3 linked regions of the Struthio camelus genome follow. The protein of the gene in region 1 purifies or fractionates together with the protein of each later gene. This does not show direct contact. Links are inferred from orthologs where the notes say so. Each region holds a gene or a part of one and is shown in the gene's direction. Other genes may lie near its edges. The genes, in order: MED9, MED13L and MED25.

Region 1 (3,741 bases):
AGTGCAAAATGCTAGCATTAGTGCAAAAAGCTAGCCAGACACAGCCAAACCCTGCTGTCCTGAGGACTGCAATAGTTATTGGTTCTATGGAGAATGATGCAATTTTTGCTCTAAGAATTAATACAAAAGAGGGGGATGTGCACAGGGATTCAGGAAATCAGACTGCTCTCGCTAAGGGGCTGGGAGCTGCCCCTGGGGGCAGTGCAGCATGCTGTTATTGGGACCCCCTCCTGCTCTTCGCCCTTGGGTTACGGGATCCCCCACTCTGTCCTTCCTCCAGCTTCCCACCTTCTGTGCAGAGCTGGGTCCTGCGCAGGACAACGCACCCCCAGCTGGGAGAGAACAGCTCAGCTCCAGCCTTCTCCTGCTGGACCACCCCGTATCACCCGCCTCGCAGGACGGCCAGGCGCGCAGCAGCCCACAGCCCGTCTCAGTGACGGTGCGGCAAAGCTGCTGCTCCAGCCCCACCCCCAGCCTCAGATCCCAGGCCCCAGCTGCAAGTTCAGGCCCAGACCCACACCGCAAGTCAGGCCCAGACCCAGGCCTGAGACCTCAGCCCTGGCCCCAGACCCAGGCCCTGGCCGCAAGTTTAGGCCCCGGCCCCAAGTTCAGACCCAGGCCCCGGCCCTGGCCCAGGGAAGAGCCTCAAGTTCAGGCCCCGGCCCCGGCCCCGGCCCCAGGGAGAGCCCTAGGTTCAGGCCCCGGCCCCGGCCCCGGCCCCGGCCCCGGCCCCGGCCCCGGCCCCGGCCCCGGCCCCGGCCCCGGCCCCGGGAAGAGCCCCACGCTCAGGCCTCGGCCGCGGGCCCGGGCTCACACCGCAGCTCAGGTTCAACCGCCCGCCCCGGGGCCGCGCATGCGCAGTGTGGGCAGGGGGCGGGGCGGGGCAGGCGGAGCCCCGCCCCGTGACGTCACGCGCGGCGCCGGCGGCGCGGGCCGGGGCCGGGGTCGCCATGGCCTCGGGGGGGGGCACCGGCCGCGCCGCCGAGGAGCCGCCGCCGGCCGAGCCGCCGGCCGAGCCGAAACCGCCGCTGCCGCTGCCGCCGCCGCTGCTGCCGCCGCCGCCGCCGCCGCCCGGGCAGGAGGAGTTCTCCTTCCTCCCGCTCGTCCACGACATCATCAAATGGTAACGGCGGGCCCGCCACCCCGCGTGCCACCGGGCCCGGTCCGTCACCGGCGCCTCGTCACGGGGCCCGGTCCGTGTCACCGGCGCCTTTTCATGGGGCCCTGGGCCTGGTCCGTGTCACCGGCCCTCGTGACGGGGGTCCGGTCCGTGTCACCGGCCCCTCGTCGTGGGACTCTGGGCCTGGTCCGTGTCACCGGCCCTCGTGACGGGGCCCAGTCCGTGTCACCGGCCCCTCGTCGTGGAACTCTGGGCCCGCTCCGTGTCACCGGCCCCTCGTCACGGGGCCCAGTCCGTGTCACCGGCCCCTCGTCGTGGGGCCCGGTCCGTGTCACCGGCGCCTTTTCATGGGGCCCTGGGCCTGGTCCGTGTCACCGGCCCTCGTCACGGGGGTCCGGTCCGTGTCACCGGCGCCTTTTCACGGGGCCCTGGGCCTGGTCCGTGTCACCAGCCCTCGTCACGGGGGCCGGTCCGTGTCACCGGCGCCTTTTCGTGGGGCCCAGTCTGTGTCACCAGCCCCTCGTCACAGGGCCCTGGGCCTGGTCCGTGTCACCGGCCCTCGTGACGGGGGTCCGGTCCGTGTCACCGGCCCTCGTCGTGGGGGCTCTGGGCCTGCTCCGTGTCACCGGCCCCTCGTCGTGGGGCCCTGGGCCCGGTCCGTGTCACCGGCCCCTCGTCATGGGGGCCCAGGCCTGGTCCATCACTGGGCACCTCATGGTGGGTGCACTGGGCCCAGTCCGTGCCACCAGCCCCCTCGTCCCGGGGGTCTGATCCGTGTCACCAAGCCCTCGTCATGGGGCCCCGGGCCCCGTCCGTGTCACCGGCTCCTCGTCCCGGGGGCCGGTCCGTGTCACCGGCACTTCGTCCCGGGGGCCTGGTCTGTGTCACCGACCCCTCGTCCTGGGAGTCTGGTCCGTGTCACCAGCCCCCTCATCATGGGGGCCTGGTCCATGTCACCAGCCCCTCGTCCTGGGGCCCTGGGCCCGCTCCGTGTCACCAGCCCCTCGTCACGGGGTCCGGGCCTGCTCCATGTCACCAGTCCCTCGTCATGGGGGCCCGGGCCTGGTCCATCACTGGGCACCTTATGGTGGGTGCACTGGGCCTGGTCCGTGTCACCGGCCCCCTTGTCCTGGGGGACCAGCCCTGGTCCGTGTCACCGGCCCCCTGGTCATGGGGGTCCGGTCCGTGTCACCGGCCCCCTGGTCTCGAGGGTCTGGTCCGTATCACCAACCCCTTCGTCCCGGGGGTCCGGGCCCGATCCGTGTCACCGACCCTTCGTCCCGGGGGTCCGGCCCTGGTCCATGCCACTGGCCCCCTGGTCATGGGGGTCCGGTCCGTGTCACCGAGCCCCTCGTCCCGGGGATCTGGGCCCAGTCTGTGTCACCAGCCCCTTGTCATGGGGGCCTGGCCCTGGTCCATCACTGAGCACCTCATGGTGGGTGCACTGGGCCCGGTCCATGTCACCGGCCCCTCGTCCCGGGGGTCCGGTCCGTGTCACCGGCGCCTCGTCCCGGGGGTCTGCTCCATGTCACCGACCCCTCATCACAGCAGCCCGGTCCGTGTCACCGGACCCCTCGTCACGGGGTCCGGGGCCGGTCCGTGTCACCAGCCCCTCGTCCTGGGGCCCCGGGCCTGGTCCGTGTCACCAGTCCCTCGTCATGGGGGCCTGGGCCTGGTCCATCACTGGGCACCTCATGGTGGGTGCACTGGGCCCGGTCCGTGTCACCAGCCCCCTCGTCATGGGGGTCTGGGCCCGGTCTGTGTCACCAAGCCCTCGTCACAGGGCCCAGGCCCAGTCTATGTCACCGGCGCCTCGTCACAGGGCCCTGGGCCCGATCCATGTCACTGGCACCTCGTCATGGGGGTCCGGGCCTGGTCCATCACTGGGCACCTTATGGTGGATGCACCGGGCCCGGGCCTGTCACCACATGCCTCGTGGTGGGTACACTGGGCCTGGTCTTGTCATCAGGCACCCCTCATCATGGGGGCAACTGGGTCTGGGCCTGTCACCGGGCACCTCATTGCAGGGGCAGCCCTGCACCAGGCCTGCTCCCCATTCCTCTGCCCAGGTGCCTTATCCCTGCTCCGGCCCTTCTCCGTCTTCCCGATTGCGGCCTCCTCCTGCGCGCCCTGGACAGGGAGCAGGGCAGTGGGACCTTCCTTCCCCACAGTGATACTCTTTGACCGCCCCCAGCGTTTCCTTTGCTGCAGACCCCCTTGTTCTCCTGACTGGGGTTGCTGGGGAAGGTGTTACAGGGAGGTGGCGTAGTCCCACACGCGGCTCCGTGGTGAGCCACGCCAGTACATGGCAGCGTACGGATGATCCAGGCGATGCAGGTTATTCTGATGGCCCAGGTACGCTGCCCCGTTGTTATACACCCTCGAGCAGAGAGCATTGGACTGGTGCTGTGTTATTGCCCCAAACTGCTCTACTGTTTGGCTGATAACAGCCTCAGAAAGTACAGGCAGTCCCAGCACAGAAATGCAGTCCATTTCTAGGGTGTTGTAAAGAGGAAGAAGGCTTTTACAGTGGTGGAGGTTGAATTGTTCTCTTCCTGGTTCAAGATCAGTTTTAGGGGTAAAAGGTACTTGTACATGGGTCCTGAGGGGTGTGGTGTTCC
Region 2 (3,741 bases), on another chromosome or scaffold:
GGCACCGCGGGGTTGGGGGGGGGCGCGGCCCGGACCCCCCCCCGCCCCCCCCCACGGCCGCTCAGGGCAGGCGCCGCGCGGGGACGCCGCGAGGTTCGCGGGGTCGCGAGGCGTCGAGGGCGGCGGCGGCGGCGGCGCCCGCCCCCTCCCCCCTCCCCCCGCACCGGCGGCGGCGCCGCGCTCGCGCTCCCGCTCCCGCTCGCGCTCGCGCTCCCGCGCGCCCCCAGCGGCCCGGCGGGCGCCGCGGCGGGGTGAGGGAGGGGCCGCGGGAGGGAGCCCCAGCGCCGGGCCCCCGCCCTCCGGCGCGCGTCACGTGGGGCGGCGGCGGCCAATGGCGAGGCGCGCTGCGCCTGGCGGCCGCCATTGCTGTCAGAGTGGCGAGAGGCAGAGGCGAGTGTGTGAGGAGGAGCTGGTGAGCGGGGCCGCTGGGCGGGCAGCGCCAGGCGGAGGGTGGCGAAGACGGGCAGGGACAGTGCTCCCTCTCCGGGCCGCGGCTGCCGCCCGCCGCCCGCAGCGCCGGGGGCCCCGCACGGAGCGTAAACAAGGCGGCGGCGGCGGCAACAGCAGCAGCAGGAGGAGGAGGAGGAGGAGGAGGAAAACACCATCCACCCGCAGCCAGCGGCGGCAGCAGCGAGGGGCGGCCGGGCGGGGAGGGAGGGAGGGGACACGGCCTCCGCCGGCCCGCGAGACAGCGCCCCCCCCGCGGCCGCCGCCGCCGCCCGGGGCCCGCGACCCTCCCCCGCCGCCCGCCCGCCCGCCCGGCCCGTGCGCGGTAGGGGCCGCCGCCGCGGGGGGGCCGCCGCCCTCGCCCCCCCTTCACCGCAACGTGCGCCCTGAGCGGGGGGGGGCCCGACCTGGACACGGAAGCGGGGCCCCGGGCGCCCCCCCCCTTCTCCTCCTCCTCCTCCGCCCGGCGGTGCCGCGGCGGCCTGGAGCAGCGCAGGAGGCGTCGCCCCGCGCGGCGCCGAGCGGCCGGGAGCGGAGCGGCCGCGTAGCCGGCCCGCGGGGGCCCCTGCCGGGCCGCGCCGCCCGCCCCGAGCACCGTTTGGCGGGGGCCGGCTGAGGAGGAGCGCGGCCGCCGCCGCCTCGGCGCCCGCCCGCCCGCCGCCGGGGCGCCGTCCGCCCCCCCCCCCCCCCCCGCCCGCCCGGCGCCCCCTGCCGGCCGCGGCCGGGGGCAGGACAGCGGCTGCCGGCCCGGCGACCGCAGGAGCGGGCTGCGTCGCGGAGTGGCCGGTGCTTCTCCCTGCCTGCCGGGCCCGTCTCCTCAGACATGCCCCGCTCTGGCGGCCGGGCTCGCCGAGGATCATGACTGCAGCGGCGAACTGGGTGGCGAACGGGGCCAGCCTGGAGGACTGTCACTCCAACCTCTTCTCGCTGGTGAGTGCCTGCGTGAGCCCCCGCAGGGGTGGGCGGCGCGGCAAGTTTGCCGGCTGGGTGCAGCTGCCGGGGGCTTTATAGTCGGGGCCCGTGGGGCTGCTCCTGCGCTGGCCCCTCCCCCGGCTCGGCGCCCCGTGTTTATTTTGCTCTTTAACGTGGCTTGCCGCGAGTGTGCGTGTGTTCCTCGCACAGCTGCGTTCGCCGGGCTGCGGGAGTGCCTGCGTGTCTGCGTGTGTGCCCGGCATGTGCGACCATCTTCTCTGGTAAACAGTCTTTTCTCCCCGCCTCCCTTGGCACTCCGTGCCCTGGTGCTTTGTGCCTACCAAACTGTGGGTTTTTTTTTTTTCCTCCCCTCTTCTTCTTTCATAATGGCAAACGCCATTTCAGCAGCAGCGAACAGTTTGCGTAGCGTGACTGCCTCTCGGACTTACCTCTGGGCTCTCCTGACTAGATGCCAGCTGTTTTGACCCTTCTTTGAACAGGTTGTGGTTGGGGACAAGAGATTTAAAAAAAAAAAAAAGAAGCTTTTAATTTTTTGTTTTCAGAAGAAAAACGGTAGCTGAAAATGTAGTATGCTGGATAGCTTGATGATCTAGGTGCTGTCATCCCCTCTGGTTGGTAACTGACAACTTGTACTTGCATTGCATGGTATAATTTTACAAAAATCGTGGTATCAGTTGTGACTAGCTACAGGGTCTGTATGAATTTAAAACAAGAAAACCATTAGTTTTTGTATAAAGGCAATGTCACTTGGAAATGTCTTGCTTTATTTTACCGGCCACCTGCAGCAACCTTATCCCTTCAGAGCGGACAACAGATCAGCGAGTGACAAGACTGTTAGATCACCAACAGTCTTCTAGTGCTGCTAGGGCCAATGTCTAGGGGAAGGAGGGATTTTTTTAATGCGTGTTATAGTATAGTTAAAACAAAAACTTGCAGTGTAAGTTTGGGGATAAATGTATGAAAGATTTGTGGTGGATAAAACCCTTTGCCCTCCCCAGTGCTCTGTAAGAATTGAAGGTAGATACATATATTTGATTTTTTTTTTCAAAAGAAAGGAAATGACTGTTATTGCATTTATAAGAATTAAGGAAAAAAGAAAGTGAATTGAAAATGCAGATGATCAGTCTTTTTGCTGTGTGATGGCCTATCATTCTTCTGCCTCTGTTTTCTTTAATTTGTATGTGTGTGTTTTTTATGTGGCTTGTATCTGTTAAGTATCTGGGACAAGGGCCGTAGTCTATGCCTGTGTGTTCTGCTAGGAAGCTGGCCTGGAGATTCTTCTGTGAGAATAAATAAAATTCTTATTTTGGCTTTTTATTGAACAGTTAGACATTATTTAGGCTCATATTTACGTTTCTGTTTGTGATAGTGTTTTCTGATATTTAGAAGTATATAAGAATGCTGCAGGAATTGTAATGGTGATTTTTTTTGAATACACTGGTCTTACACACTAAGAAAAATAAAATGATAAGCATGAGGGAGATGGTTGTATCTGATTGCAAGAGCAAGATAATGGATAGTTACTCTTTCACAAAAAAAATCAAATTGTGCAATCCCTATTAATTCATGGAAAATTGATTAGCATGTTTTCGAGAAGCATAACTTTTCATGTAGTTGCAATCCACAAATCTGTCACTGGTGAAATAATGTTGGTGCTCAATTAGCATAAATTATAACATTAAGTTATTTCATGGTTATTGTGGTTGCATCTATCTATTCTGTTTTATTTCACCGTACTAGGCTGAGGAAACATTGAAAATTTTTAAATGCACCTGTAATATTGGTGAAATAAATTTTGCAGAGTTCTTTTGAAAGTGTTTTAGTAATAGGTCTAATCTGCAACCCTAAATCTCCCATGTAATTTTGTGGGAACTAACCATACCTGTGAAGTGGTGCTATGTACGAAACTATAATAGTTTTATTCTTTTCTGGCTCTACTTGCAAAAAATAACTGATGAAATAATATTTTTATATAAGCACGTATATACAAACACAGTAATTATTAGGGTGATTTATTTCCAATAGCATTAGTATTCATTAGGCCATATTTATCAATGAAAGTCTCACCGTATTGAGAAAGGAAATACTGATTGGAAATATCTGGTCAGAAGCATTGACCCTTTAACCTCAAATTGTCATACTTGTCTCAAAACTTACCATGTGTTAAAGCTACGGTAGTCTGGATTACTAATTAAAGACGCTCTTGCTGATTACTTACTTTTTCAATGCAACAGAACAAAAACATGCACAAACTAATCAACTGTTAACGGGGAATCGTCCGTTCTTTAGGAACGAGGTGGATTGCAAAGCTGTATTTAAACTGATTCTGCTATTAGAATTGAATGTTAAATTTTTATCTCA
Region 3 (3,741 bases), on another chromosome or scaffold:
CCTCCCGGACACCTGGGCCCCCGGATAGCTGGGTCCATCCCTGGACACCTGGGCCCCTCCCGGACGCCTGGGCCCCCCGGGGGGGGCGGAGCTCCTCACCTGTTGCCGGGCGGGGCCGCCCCGGGAGCGGCAGAAGAGGGGCACCCCGCTGCTGGCCGCCAGGCAGAGCAGGGACAGGGCCCCGCCCCCCTCTGCCATGGCCCCGCCCCCTCTCGCCCGAGCCCCGCCCTCTCCACCAGGCCCCGCCCCTCCCCTCAGGCCCTCTTTGCCTGGCTCCACCCCCTCAAGGCCCTGCCCTCCCCTACAAGCCCCGCCCCAATGCCCCACCCTGTCAGGCTCCGCCCTCCCCTACAAGCCCCACCCCTAAGGCACCGCCCTGTCAGGCTCCACCCTCCTCTATAGGCCCCACCCAATTCCCCACCCTGTCAGGCTCCGCCCTCCCCTACAGGCCCCGCCCCAATGCCCCACCCTGTCAGGCTCCACCCTCCCCTACAAGCCCCACCCCTAAGGCACTGCCCTGTCAGGCTCCACCCTCCTCTATAGGCCCCACCCAATTCCCCACCCTGTCAGGCTCCGCCCTCCCCTACAGGCCCCGCCCCAATGCCCCACCCTGTCAGGCTCCACCCTCCCCTACAAGCCCCACCCCTAAGGCACTGCCCTGTCAGGCTCCACCCTCCTCTATAGGCCCCACCCAATTCCCCACCCTGTCAGGCTCCGCCCTCCCCTACAGGCCCCGCCCCAATGCCCCACCCTGTCAGGCTCCACCCTCCCCTACAAGCCCCACCCCTAAGGCACTGCCCTGTCAGGCTCCACCCTCCTCTATAGGCCCCACCCAATTCCCCACCCTGTCAGACTCCGCCCTCCCCTACAGGCCCCGCCCCAGACCCCTCAGGCCCCGCCTATCCCTCAGGCTCCGCCCCCTCAGGCCCCACCCCCTCCAGCCCGGCCCTGTCACTCAGGCCGTACCCGGCCCCCTTCCCCCCTCCTCCCCCCACTGCCGCTGAGGCCCCGCCCCCGCGCCCCGCCCCCGCTCTTGGCCCCGCCCCCGGTGCCGGTGCCGGTGCCGGTGCCGCCGCTCAGGCCCCGCCGGCCGCCGCCATGTCCGGCGCGCTGGCGCCGCGCGGCGCCTGCCGGGAGCGAAGCGGTTGCCGCGGCGACGGCGGGGGAGGCGGGGCCAGGGCTCGCCCCGCCCCTCCCTCCCCGCGCATGCGCGGCGGCGGCGGGCGGACCGGAAGGGGAGCAGTTCCGGCAGCCGCCGGCTCGCGCCGAAGAGGAAGTGGACGGTACGGTGGCCGGCGGGGGGGGTCTATGGGTGCCGGGGGGGGGTCGAGTCGAGGGGGTCTATGGGTGCCGGGGGGGTCTAGAGGGGTTGAGGGGGCCCATGGGTGCTTGGGGGGGTCTAGAGGGGTTGAGGGGGGTCTATGGGTGCCGGGGGGGTCTAGAGGGGTCTAGGGGACCCATGGGTGCTTGGGGGGGGTCTGTGGGGGTTGAGGGGGCCCATGGGTGCCGGGGGGGTCTAGAGGGGTTGAGGGGGGTCTATGGGTGCCGGGGGGGTCTAGCAGGGTCTAGGGGGCCCATGGGTGCTTGGGGGGGTCTAGAGGGGTTGAGGGGGGTCTATGGGTGCCGGGGGGGTCTAGAGGGGTCTAGGGGGCCCATGGGTGCTTGGGGGGAGTCTGTGGGGGTTGAGGGGGGTCTATGGGTGCCGGGGGGGTCTGTGGGGGTTGAGGGGGCCCATGGGTGCTTGGGGGGTCTAGGGGGGTTGAGGGGGCTCATGGGTGCTTGGGGGGGGGTCTGTGGGGGTTGAGGGGGCCCATGGGTGCCGGGGGGGCCGAGGGGGTCTGTGGGTGCCAGGGGTGGTTGAGAGGGTCTATGGGTGCCGGGTGGGGTCGAGGGGGGCCCATGGGTGCTGAGTGGCTATATGGGGGTCGAGGGGGTCTGTGGGTGCCCGCTGGGGTTGAGGGGGGGCTTATGGGGATCTATAGGTGCCAGGGGAGGTCAAAGGGGTCCTATGGGTGCTGGGGGGGGTCTGTGGGGGTTGAGGGGGCCCATGGGTGCTGGGGGGGGGTTCTATGGGGGGTTGAGGGGGCCCATGGGTGCCGGGGGGGTTCTTTGGGGGGGTTGAGGGGGTCCATGGGTGCCGGGGGGGTTCTATGGGGGCTGAGGGGGTCTTTGGGTGCCCACTGGGGTCGAGGGGGGGGTTATGGGGATCTATAGGTACTAGGGGAGGTCAAAGGGGTCCTATGGGTGCCAGGGGGGGGTCTGTGGGGGTGGAAGAGTCTATGGATGCCGGGGGGGGGTCAAGGGGGACCCACGGGTGCTGGCGGGGTCTGTGTGGGTCGAGGGGGTCTATGGGTGCCAGGGAGGGTTCATGGGTGCTAGGGGTGTCGAGGGGGGCCCATTGGGGTCGAGCGGGTGTATAGGTGGAAGGGGGGTCTATGGGCCTTGAGAGGGTCTATAGGTGCTGGGGGGGGGTCCATAGGGGTCTAGGGGGGACTATGGGTGGGGGTTCTATGGGGGTTAAGGGGGTCTATAGGTGCCGGGGGAGTTGGGGGTCCATGGGGGTTGAGGGGCACCTATGGGTGTCGGGGGCACCTATGGGTCCTAGGGGGGTCCCTGGGGGCTGAGGGCGGCTCATGGGTGCTGGGGAGGGTTAAGGGGGCCCCATGGGTGCTGGGGGGGGGAGAGGAGGACTGAGGGGAGTCCATGGGTGCCGGGGCGGGGGGGGCCTCACACGTCAGGCGAGAACTGTGGGTAGAAGAGAGTTTGGGGGGGGGCACGTGGGTGTCGGGGAGGGTCCCATGGGTGCTGTCCTTTTCCCCCCCCCCCCGCCAGCACCCGCGGGGGCCATGGTGGTGCCGGCGCTGGAGCCCCCCCCCGCCATGGTGGCCGACGTGGTGTTCGTGGTGGAGGGCACGGCCAACCTGGGCCCCCACTTCGAGGCCCTGCGCAAGCACTACCTGCTGCCCGCCATCGAGTGAGCCCCCCCCCCCCCCAAAAAACCTGCACCCCCCCCCAACACCCTGGGGACCCCCTCGAAACTTTGGGTGCCCCCCCGAAACCCCGCGGACCCCCCTGAAGTCTCTAGGACCTTCCTAAACTCCGGGAATTGCCCCCAAAACTCTTGCTGCTTCCAGGGGGCTCCAAATTTTGGGGAGCCCCCCCCACAAAAAGCTCGGGGCCACCCCAAATCCCAAGAGATCCCCCCTCTCAAAACCCAGGGGGGGTCCCCAAAGCCCTTTGAGCCCCCCCCAAAACCTTGAGGGCCCCCCAAAAAACCTTGGGGACCCCTCAAAACCTTGTAGGTGCCCCCAACCCCAGGTTTCCCCCCCTTAAACCTTTGGGGCCCCCCCAACTCCTAAAGGATCCATCCAAAATGATGGAAAGTTCCCCAAAACTTGCTTGCATCCCTTGAGGATCCCCCCAAGCCCCCTAGGGACCCCCCAAAACTTCTAAGATTCCCCCCAAACCCTTAGGGACCCCCCAAAACTCCTCAGGGCCGGCCCAAACCCCTGGGGACCTTCTACAACCCCCCCTTGAAACCCCCTCAATTTCTTGGGGATCCTCCCAACATTCTTGGCCCTCCCCACCCTCAGGGCCCCCCAAACCTCAGGGACCCCCCTCAAAAACACCTGGAGCCCCCCCAAACCCCATGATGCCCCCCAAAATCCTCTAGAATCTCCCCCGAACCCCTGAGAACCCCCCCAAACCACTCACCCCCCCGAATATTTGGGGCCCCCCAAA

Evidence for each region.
Region 2: the proteins of MED9 (region 1) and MED13L purify together in Homo sapiens (affinity purification with mass spectrometry; 5 studies listed by BioGRID and IntAct, with this or other methods). This does not show direct contact. The link is inferred for Struthio camelus from reciprocal best matches to the Homo sapiens genes MED9 and MED13L.
Region 3: the proteins of MED9 (region 1) and MED25 purify together in Homo sapiens (co-immunoprecipitation; 3 studies listed by BioGRID and IntAct, with this or other methods). This does not show direct contact. The link is inferred for Struthio camelus from reciprocal best matches to the Homo sapiens genes MED9 and MED25.

The regions. Positions count from the first base shown.
Region 1 is NC_090956.1:3,992,867-3,996,607, reverse strand, and holds the start of MED9 (mediator of RNA polymerase II transcription subunit 9), read left to right. Parts: upstream 1-950; coding exon 951-1,123; intron 1,124-3,741.
Region 2 is NC_090958.1:5,775,144-5,778,884, forward strand, and holds the start of MED13L (mediator of RNA polymerase II transcription subunit 13-like), read left to right. Parts: upstream 1-1,169; 5' UTR 1,170-1,305; coding exon 1,306-1,377; intron 1,378-1,622; exon of another isoform or gene 1,623-1,640; intron 1,641-3,741. UniProt on the Homo sapiens protein: Component of the Mediator complex, a coactivator involved in the regulated transcription of nearly all RNA polymerase II-dependent genes.
Region 3 is NW_027182651.1:79,631-83,371, forward strand, and holds the start of MED25 (mediator of RNA polymerase II transcription subunit 25), read left to right. Parts: upstream 1-1,163; 5' UTR 1,164-1,283; intron 1,284-2,832; 5' UTR 2,833-2,846; coding exon 2,847-2,974; intron 2,975-3,741. Other genes in the region: FUZ (protein fuzzy homolog), read right to left, coding at 100-198. UniProt on the Homo sapiens protein: Component of the Mediator complex, a coactivator involved in the regulated transcription of nearly all RNA polymerase II-dependent genes.